2 linked regions of the Oryzias latipes genome follow. The protein of the gene in region 1 purifies or fractionates together with the protein of each later gene. This does not show direct contact. Links are inferred from orthologs where the notes say so. Each region holds a gene or a part of one and is shown in the gene's direction. Other genes may lie near its edges.

Region 1 (6,062 bases):
TCTACTCTGACGTTCTCACACGTTCTCACACGTTCTTCAACATTCTACTCTGACGTTCTCACACATTCTACTCTGACGTTCTCACACGTTCTCACACGTTCTTCAACATTCTACTCTGACGTTCTTCAACATTCTACTCTGACGTTCTTCAACATTCTACTCTGACGTTCTTCAACATTCTACTCTGACGTTCTTCAACGTTCTACTCTGACGTTCTCACTCGTTCCTGACTCACATCCAGTCATCTGGGTTCTTGACTCTGTCTGAATCCTGAAGGGGGACTTCTGGTTCCAGGAAACAAATAGAATTCATCCTCATCATCCTCATCCTCCTCATCTGTAAACGTCTACAGAGTTTAACCTACAGCTGATCTGAAGCCGCTCCTGGAGCTCAGGTGGACCGCTCCGGGGGCTGCAGGTGGACCGTACCACCCAGTCCTCCTGCAGAACCTGAAGAATCAGCAGGTCTGGACCTGAGCTTCTGCCCTGGTCTCAGCTGCAGGCCCAGAAGATTCTGCTGTGGTCTGTGGGTCAGGGACTGCTCACCTGGGGGCGGGGCTTGGTATCATACAGGTGAGCATAAGTGCGCAGATGCAGCGGCTAAAGGCCAACAGTAAGCAGGTCGGTGCGTGAGAGCGCGGACCCCTGCAGCCGTTCTACGCCACTAGTTCTGGTAATCTGCCCATCACGCACCTGTGATGACCCTCCGCCCCCACCCCTCACTTCACCTGATCACGAGGGAAAGGCATGCTAATGCGCTAGCAGGTTAGCAGGCTGTCTGCCCCCCCGCGGCTGCTCCCCCTGGTACCGGGTGCAGAAGCCCCGGAGGGACCGGGACAGATGGACCCCCCCTCCCTCTCCCTCAAACACACACGCACGCACGCACGCACGCGAACGGTCTCTCACCTGTTCGTTGGGGCGCGCATGCTCGTCTGTGGCTCATCAGAATGGACGGTAGCCTCGTTAGCTCCGGTTAGCCCCGTTAGCTCCGCCGCTTCCTTATCACACCCCCCCGCACACCTCTCTGCCGCGGCGGCCCCGGAGCCCTCACGCGCGACCCATCCTCCCCGCCTCAGAGACGCACGCGGGACCCAAACATCGATCTGAAACTGATCGATATCGATCAGGTGATCAGGCCTCGGATGGATGCGCGTGCACTCCGCCTCTCTCTCTGCAGCGTGGATCTATCTCTCTCTACCCGCAGCTTACGCCTTCTTCTCCGCGTGTCCTTCCCCGCAATCACGCAGGCGCCGCTCCTTTCGCTCCCGCACAAACCCCCGCAGCCAGGAGCCGCTGGCGTGAGCGCTGTGCGCGGCTATTGTTCTCGCGCCTAGTGTTGGCGTGAGAAGCGTGATCCGGAGCCCGCGCGCCGCCCTGACACGTTTAACCTCCGCACTGATTACATCACGCAGGTGACCGCACACGCCGCCTCAGAGTGGGAGGGAGACGCAACAGCAAAATAAATAAATAAATGAAGTAAATAAAAATGGGGAGCGACAGCATGTACGCCCCACCTCTGTTGGTGACGTCACAACAGGGAAGTGGGTGGAAAAGGGCATTATGGGAAATATCAATTCACTGTTGCACGAATTTAACAGCAATAAAACTGTCCATTTACTATTTCCGAGCACGCACCCCCTAAACGCACGCGCACAGAGAAATGAGTACTTCAGGATCCCAGAAAAAAGGAAACATACAATTAAAAAAAAGTAATTTTTGAAACAGAAAAATGTTACCCAGAGAATAAAATGACTATTATTAAAGTAATAAACGCAAAATGTCAAAAGTACAATTAATACCAAAGTATGCAAAGTTTTTGTTGTTACTGTTTTTGTTATTTTTATTTATATTTGTAAAAATTCCATCGTTTTAAATTAAAGCTCGATCCAAATCTGAACAGAAACATTTCAATGTTTTTCAACTTTATTACACTTTTCTCTGTTTACATTTTTTCCAGTGAACTTCTTCACAGCAGGGGGGGGGGGGGGGTCCGTATGACACCCACCCCCACCCCACCCCCCACCCCCGCTAACAGGCTAGGCTAGCAGGCTAGCAGCTGCCGCGTTCAGAGACCCGTTCAGACGCGCCGGCTTCGTCCACGTTCCGGTGCTGTTAGGACCGATCCGAACCTCCGAACAGTCCCAGACGACCTGGAGGGACCGCGCAACCCGAAGGCTCGCTAGCTTGCCCCCCCCCCCTGATCAAAAGGTGAAGATGATTAAGCTGTTTTCTCTAAAGCAGCAGAAGAAAGACGAGGAATCTGCTGGAGGAAACAGAGCCGGAGCCGGGGGGAAGAAAGCCAGCGCGGCCCAGCTCCGAATACAGAAAGGTGGGCTCCTCCTCTGCACCGGCCCGGGACCGCCGCCGGTCCTCCGGGAGGGCCTGCTGCTGTCTGCGCGCTTTCAGGCAGCTCCGGTCCCCGGACGGAGGGAAGTCCGGGCCGGCAGCGGCGACAGTTCCGGCTAACGGCTAGCATGCTAACCTAGCTGCTAGCTGTTAGCCACGGCTAACCTCGAAAACAAAGTGATGAGCAGCTGTGGGGGGGTTAACCCTTGTGCTATCTCAGATGACCCCCCCCCCTCCTTCCATTGAGGTGTTCTCCCTACCATGACAAAGGTGGATAAAGGTGGAAAGATTTCATGTAATCCATGGACACCAGTGAAGATCACAAATCATTGAAGAAAAAAGGTTCAGAGCTCTGTCTAGTGGGTCTAGATGACCCACTGTCTAGTGGGTCTAGATGACCCCACTCCCAATGTTAAAGTGCCTAGGATAGCACAAGGGGTACACGCCTTCCACCGGGGACAGGGGGGCAAATCTGGAGTGAAGTTGGCCAGAACCAAACAGGAGGAGTGGGGGGGGGGGGGGGGGGGGGACTCGGGTGATTTAATTGTCCAATCTGAAATGTCTAAGCAGAGCCTAAATGCAAACATAGTATGATGTCCAGAGCTAGAAGCTATTTCAGGTAGGGTGGGGCTGGCTCCAGGTGCGCCCTCCAGGTGCGCAGGTGCATCCTCCAGGTGCGCAGGTGCACCCTCCAGGTGCGCAGGTGCACCCTCCAGGTGCGCAGGTGCACCCTCCAGGTGCGCAGGTGCACCCTCCAGGTGCGCCCTCCAGGTGCACCCTCCAGGTGCGCCCTCCAGGTGCACCCTCCAGGTGCACCCTCCAGGTGCGCCCTCCAGGTGCACCCTCCAGGTGCGCCCTCCAGGTGCACCCTCCAGGTGCTGTCCTGTGATGAAGAGAAGGATCCTGAACGGCAGGTGTTTGTGTTCCAGACATCAACGAGCTGAACCTGCCAAAGACGTGCGAGATCAGCTTCCCCGACGATGACGACCTACTCAACTTCAGGCTCATCATCTCGCCGGATGAGGTGCGTGTTTGATTCCTAGCAGTGCAGACGTTCACGTTTACACTCGGCTGTGTGTGTGTGGGGGGGGGGGGGGGGGGTCATGTGACCACAGATGGACATCATGTAGCCGAGGTTCCTCGTGTTCCTGCTGGATTCTGGAGCATTTCAAAGAGCAGCAGTTAACCTGGATTTTCAGAATAAAAGCCAGGTATCCTGTTGAACTCCCGGAGGGAATTTCAAACCAAGTGGAAGCAAAAAGAAGGAATTCTTCATGATTGTTCATCATCATGTTCCTCATGAATCCACTCCGTGATTCTTCTCCCCTGAGATGATTGGTCAAAGTCCTGCTGCTGCTTGTGTTCACGTCAGGGACCTCATGTAAAACTTTATTTAAACTGCAGACAGATGACAGACAGAGAGCTAAACCCAGAGTGCGGGCTGTCAGGCGGAACACTCATGTGGCACTGCGGTGCTGGTCGGATCCAGTCGCAGGCAAAACCAGTTTTTGGTAGACGGGTCTCCAGGGGGGCTGGGCGTGTCATGGGTTTGAGCCTTGCCTGTCATACCAGAGTACTCTGATTACTCTGGGGGTGGAGGCTCTGAGCCCATACCATTAGTCCTCCGCCACCATGCTTCATAGATTCCATATTTTGTAGTGCTGCCCTGTAAGTGGCTGCTTCAGCTGTGGCCCCCCCACAGCCATGTCACAACATTGGGGTTTTGAGGCAGAGTGGGGGGCATGGAGGGGGCAGCATCCTGCAGCTAACCTGTGTTTCTGTCTCAGGGTTTCTACAAAGGAGGGAAGTTCGTCTTCAGCTTTAAGGTCAGCAAACGCGTCATTTGGCCCCGCCCCTTCTCTGCTCGCAGACATCATAAGAGTTTGTGTTTCAGGTAGGACAGGGTTACCCCCACGACCCCCCCAAAGTGAAGTGTGAGACGATGGTGTACCACCCCAACATTGACCTGGAAGGAAACGTCTGTCTAAACATCCTCAGGTCAGTTCTTCAGAACCGGAGATCCGAACAGCGAGGGGGGGGGGGGGGGGTTCTGGAGGTTCATGTGTGCTCTTCTGCTCCACAGAGAGGACTGGAAGCCGGTTCTGACGATAAACTCCATCATCTACGGTCTGCAGTATCTCTTTCTAGTAAGACACGTCACATGATCTGGGGGAGGGGGGGGGGTCTGCTGGTCAGCCAATCATACTGCAGGAGGGTCACCCACTGGGCCCCTCCCAACTGGGAAACTCCTGTCAGTGGGCGGGGCGTATTTGGATAAGGGGACGCCTTAGCTGCCCCCCCATTCCGTAGCTAAATCTAGGAGCAATCTGGAAGAGCGGTTCTGCTAGGGAACAGTGGACCCAGTGGGATCAGCCCAACGTAGAGAACCTGGAACCGGTGGAGGCGGGTCTTCTGCCTGCTTTGATTCAGACTCCAGCTGGAACTGGACCAGAAGGTTCTCCACCGTAGAACGGTTAAAGAACCTTCAGGTCCAGAAGCTGGAACTGGACCTGAAGGTTCTTTAACCGTTCTACGGTGGAGAACCTTCAGAAGACTCATCCTGATGGAACAAAGCTCAGAACTCTTTGTGACTCCGGATGTTTCTGGTTTCGGAACCATGAGAGAAGAAGGTTCTAGACTGTATTTGGGTTCAGTCTTCGTCTGAAGCGACTCCCTGGGTTCTCTCAGTTGGACTGGACACCAAACGGAACCGTGCAGCGGCGGTTCTTTTGGTGTCTGGGCCCCTGTGAATCCCTGAGGTGGTCCGAACCCGCGGTTCTGCTGGTGTCACTGACACGACTGACGCTCGACTCCACCCCCCAGGAGCCAAACCCGGAGGACCCCCTGAACAAGGAGGCGGCGGAGGTCCTGCAGACGAACCGGCGGCTCTTTGAGCAGAATGTCCATCGCTCCCTGAGGGGGGGCTATGTGGGCGCCACCTACTTTGAGAGATGTCTGAAATAGCTGGGCGTCCCACCATCTCACCCTCCCCCCACCCGTTTGCTCTTCAGCCCTGCTGGGGGGCCGCAGCAGGAAACAGGAAGTCACACGCAGAAGAAAGAAGCTCCGCCCCCTCCTCTCACATTCTTTTATGTCCAGCTGTTTTTATGGAAGGTGGGGGGGTCAGCCCAACGCTGATGAGGATGAAGATTTGCCGGATTTCTTTTTGTTTTTTTAGGCTGACATTCAGACACGCCCCTTCCCGTTCCCACATTTTCTGTGGTCCATAGGCCAGCAGCAAACTCCAGACCCCCCCCCCCCCCATCCCACCTGGACAGGTTGAGGGGAGAAAGACCCGCCTTAACATTAGGTAGTGGGTCGGGGGGGGGGGTTGGACAGGAGGGGGTGGAGCAACCTCAGGAAACATTCAGGATCAGGAGACTCAAAGGAGGAGGGGCTTATAGAGTTGAGGTCTTCATATGGGGAGTGGCTAAGTTTGAATGAACACGCCTTAAAATGCTTCTATGATGACATCAGCGGATCTTGATCTTTGTGGGAGGAGCTTATGATGCGGCATCTGGAGACGGCGAGCAACAACCCAGACCTGTTTGGAGTTTGCTGCTAAAACATGGAGCGCCGATGGGTGGGGCTATTGTTTGGTTCGGAACTTTTGCATTTAAATAGAAGGCGCATTTTATTTTCATTTGGGGGTTTTAAGGGGTGGAGTCAAAAAGGGGAGGAGTTAAACATTAGGATTCTTGTGAATATGAAACCCCA
Region 2 (4,300 bases), on another chromosome or scaffold:
ACCCGCCCTCACCTCCCATCACTCATCTGTTTACACTCTCTCTCCCACTAGTTTGCAGCCCCTCACACCCCCAACCCAAAGAGCAATATTGGAGCTATCCAACCTGACAGTTTGGAGCCATAGCCTCCTCTTTTTATAATAAGATGCAAAGCAGCATTTCTGTCACTGCTGGGATCCAGGATAGAGGGAAATATTTGATGTGGATCTTTCTTTCTTGTAATGAGGAAAATGATTTATTTTCTTCCAAATAAAATCTATTTTTTTCTTTTTGTATTCTTTTAAATGTCATTTTGTTTAGCTTCTTTTTCTTTTGTGAAATAAATGAATTGGGTGAATGCACATCTGTAGCAAGCTGCTGAAAATGGACCCTGACAGACCTGTGGAAGTGCTTTCAGGTCATTAACACTAACACTTGTCCTTCCTCCTCCTCAGTGGCTGAACACCTCATAGCTCAGCATAGTGCAATCAAGATGCTCCACAGCCGAGTGAAGATCATTCTAGAGTACGTGAAAGCCGTGGAAGCAGGTGAGTCTGCTTTATTTATGAGGCGGGCGCTAAAGGCAAAGAGCGTGAAGAGCAGCAGGTGTTCTTTAGTGAGATGTTCCAACACGCCTGTCTAATAACAAGCCGCCATTTGACGGCAGCATCAGCGGCAGTCACATGACCTCTCCGCTGTGTTACAGGAGAGGTGCCATTTAACCACGAGATCCTTCGAGAAGCAAACGCCCTGTGCCACAGACTGCCGGTCCTCAGCACCATCAAATTTAAAACGGACTTCTATGATGTAAGAACATGTTAAAAAAAAAGGAATTCCACTGAGATTTACCTTAGAAGTTTTGTTTGTTGAGGTTTAAACTGTCTTTGCTAAAAGGTAGAATGCTTTCTTGTTTGTGATGCAATGCTGCTTCTTTATGACCTTTTTAGATACAGGCTTTTATTTTCTTAACCATTCTTTAGAAGGAGATCCACATGCTGGATCTCCTGCACTTTCAGGATCATGAATCCCACAGAAACGTATTTTCTAGTCCATAAGCTCAGATGCTTCCCTTTCACAACCAATCAAGTATTTTATCTCGGTCTCATAAATTATAAATATTAGAGTTGACCTTTTTTCCTTTTAAGAATTAACCCCTTGACACCTGAACCTATTTCCAGCTTTAAAAAAATTACCTTTCTTCGCTTTCAAGTTTATGCTAAATTTTATCAGTGGTTGACAAAGGATTTTCATTTAATGGACTTCCTATTTGTATCACTAAAAAAAAACAAAAAATGTGGTCTAATAAATTTCTCACATATTCAAACATTTTTATTATTATTATTATTAACGTTCCTCTGCCACAAAAAGTGTTTTTGGTGGTATTTCCGTCTTTTAAGCCTCTTGTCATAAAACCGGCAGAAATCTTGACTTTTTTTTTTGGTGATTTTTATTACAAAAACTGTTTAACTGTTTCTATAATCGTTGCCCCCAAAGCATTGAAGCTTCAGTGCTTTAACCTCTTAAGACGTGGCGTTCAAATTTGTAGGCGTCACATTTCGGGTGAAATTACCAGAGTGGTTCTGCTTATCTGGGTTCCTGTGACTTCAGAGGGTTACCTCAACTATTGGCCTGGGTCTTAAGGGGTTACGCTTTTTTGTGTTTAACACTATAAAAGAATTTGCTCATAAAATAAAACACTACTAAGACGAGAGAAAAAAAATCCCCCAAAGTGTCATGATGTTTAATTCAACTATCAAATGTAAACTAAATATATCCTAATAGATTTTAAATAGGATGGAAAGATTCTTAATATTCAGAAGTAATTTGTGTGCAATGATTAAAGTTTAAATTGTACAAAATATGAGTCTAAGATGATCAAACATTGACTTGTTTTTAGAAAATGTACATTTTCAATTGTAATGATAGAAGTTCTACCAACAATATTTGATCTAAAAACAAATCTGTCTTAATACACTCTTACTCGATTGGTTATCACCTCTCATTTTTAATGTTAGATGTTATTAGATTTGGAATGAGTCAAATATAATTGACTTAAATATGCATGATGGAATAGTGGTTACCCCTCTTGCCTCACAGCAAAAAGGTCCTGGTTCAAATCCCAGCTGGGACCTTTCTGTGTGGAGTTTGCATGTTCTCCCCGAGGGTTTTCCCCGGGTACTCCGGCTTCCTGCTTCATGGGGTAATTTGTGATTCTGTGTGGACCTGTGACAGCAGCTGGGTTGGCTCCAACAGCTCTGTGATCCCAAAAGGGATTCAATGGACTGATGGATAAATCAAAAGAGCTTTTAAGATGCACATTCTTTCATAATTTTTTTTCTTCTGCTTCCTGCTGCAGATGACTGTTGAATCTGTGCCTCACTCTCACTCTGCTTCTCCCCCCCTGCAGCAATGCAACGACGTCGGCCTCATGGCCTACTTAGGCACCATCACCAAGACATGCAACAGCATGAACCAGTTCATCAACAAATTCAACGTCCTTTACGACCGACAGGGCATCGGCCGCAGGATGAGAGGACTCTTCTTTTGAGATTCTGGAGATGCAAACGACACGCTGCAGTTTGGGGTTTTTTTTCCCCCTGGTCTCTCCCTACCTTTTAATTTTTTTTTGCGCTTTGTGTGTATTTTGATTGGCTAATAGAAGCTCACAGCCTCAGCGGTTTTTCAGACCCACTTACCATCCTCAGCCACAATCTGAGAGCACTTAAAGACGTCAGTCAGAGATCCACTCTTCTGCACTGCAGTGAACCCTCTGTACACGAATGTTGTCTTTTACCCGGGTTGTTTTCTAGTCTCATGTTTCTGTATGTAATAAAGGATCTGTTGTTTTTTTTCATGGGACTTTTGAGTTTTCTTTTTAAAGGAGCTGCATGAAGCTGGCTCTAAAGGGACGTGTCAGATCTGCACTTTTAAACGAGCTTGTGAAAGTTTGCTGCAGCTCGCTGTCGGCAGGTCGTTTGAAGTCGTCCTCCCGCTGTTTGATGGGCTGATGTGGGCTCAGACAGACGGGAATATTCAGCAGAAAAAAAATGAGGCTGGACACGGCTCCACTGAGTGCAACGTGTAGCAGGAGTCAGCTTTTATTTGGGTGTTAGATGTACAGCGGAAGCAGACCTAATGATCTCCAGTCTGAGTCGGTACACTTTAGTTTAGCTGCCACGTTGCACCGGCGTGGAAACGTGTGTCTATGCAAATGTCAAACCATAAACTGACTTTTATTTTGAAATCTGTTCAAAGAGCAAATGCATGAATGGCCATGTTGAGTAAAAACCGCTTCCCCTCATGCTGAAGGTGATTCTGAATCCAGACGGATCTAATCACAGCTGTATTCTATGCCTGGTGTCAATCAGCCTGCTCCATTTAAAGACAGCTGTTTCACCGCCCCTCCCACCTAATTATCAATGCCCCTCCTCTGCAGGCTCATCAGCTGCAGCATCAGGCTGTGGGTACTGGAAGCGAGCAGGGTCATAAAGGTCATCCCTGGGGTCATACGGGTGGGGGAAGTAGTAGTAAGGGTAAGGGTGTGGGTAGGTTAGTTTCTTTTCTTTGGGAGCGGGGGGTAACGGCTCTTCTACCGGCTCCTCCTCAGGTGGGGGAGTTGGTGGAGGCGCCTCGATCTTTCCCTTGATGGACCTGGGAGGGTGGTCGATCAGGCAGTCGGGGTCCCAGTAGGGGTCGCAGTCATACTCCATGCCCTTGAAGGCACGGACAGGGACCACGGGGGTCTTCTTGACGTAGACTGGAGGTGGAGGTGGAGCAGACTTCTTTGGAGGAGGAGGAGGAGGAAGATGTTTCTGCACTACCACGGGGGCTGGTGGGGCCTTCTGAGGGGTGCAGTGGGGGTGGTAGCGAGGGTCACAGAGTACAGGCACGGCGCCTGAAGGCAGGTAGACGATGTGAGGCTTGCAGAGGGGGTCCTTGCTGTTGCAGAGGAAGAGCACGTCAGCCTGAGACATGGCGGGGGGAGGTGGAGGAATTATCGGGGGTTCTGTGGGCTTTGGGAGCCCTTTCATGGGAGGAGGCGGAGGTGGGAGTTTGCACGATTTGTCAGTAGCTGGGTCGCACTTGATCTTTGGCACGAGTTTGTTCTGGTAGTACGGGGCGTCGGGACCGTACGTCTGCTCCAGATACCTCATCTGCTGGTAGAGCATCCTCAGCTTGTCGATCTCATAGAGCTGAGAGAAGAAAACATATTCAGGCAAAAGACTTACAGACCAAAAAACAACATTTTAACCAAATCTGATCATAATAATCGCTCAGCTTTACTACACCCTGATTGAGGATTTCTGATAAAAGGAAACCTGA

What was found. The genes of interacting proteins can lie anywhere in the genome.
Region 2: the proteins of ube2m (region 1) and cops6 purify together in Homo sapiens (affinity purification with mass spectrometry; 3 studies listed by BioGRID and IntAct, counting the BioPlex papers as one, with this or other methods). This does not show direct contact. The link is inferred for Oryzias latipes from reciprocal best matches to the Homo sapiens genes UBE2M and COPS6.

What each region holds. Positions count from the first base shown.
Region 1 is NC_019866.2:194,362-200,423, forward strand, and holds the start of ube2m (NEDD8-conjugating enzyme Ubc12), read left to right. Parts: upstream 1-2,024; 5' UTR 2,025-2,213; coding exon 2,214-2,328; intron 2,329-3,274; coding exon 3,275-3,369; intron 3,370-4,132; coding exon 4,133-4,171; intron 4,172-4,239; coding exon 4,240-4,343; intron 4,344-4,428; coding exon 4,429-4,492; intron 4,493-5,168; coding exon 5,169-5,309; 3' UTR 5,310-6,062.
Region 2 is NC_019868.2:6,638,905-6,643,204, reverse strand, and holds the end of cops6 (COP9 signalosome complex subunit 6), read left to right. Parts: intron 1-432; coding exon 433-525; intron 526-683; coding exon 684-784; intron 785-2,384; coding exon 2,385-2,525; 3' UTR 2,526-2,836; downstream 2,837-4,300. Other genes in the region: leucine-rich repeat extensin-like protein 3, read right to left, coding at 3,394-4,170. UniProt on the Homo sapiens protein: Component of the COP9 signalosome complex (CSN), a complex involved in various cellular and developmental processes.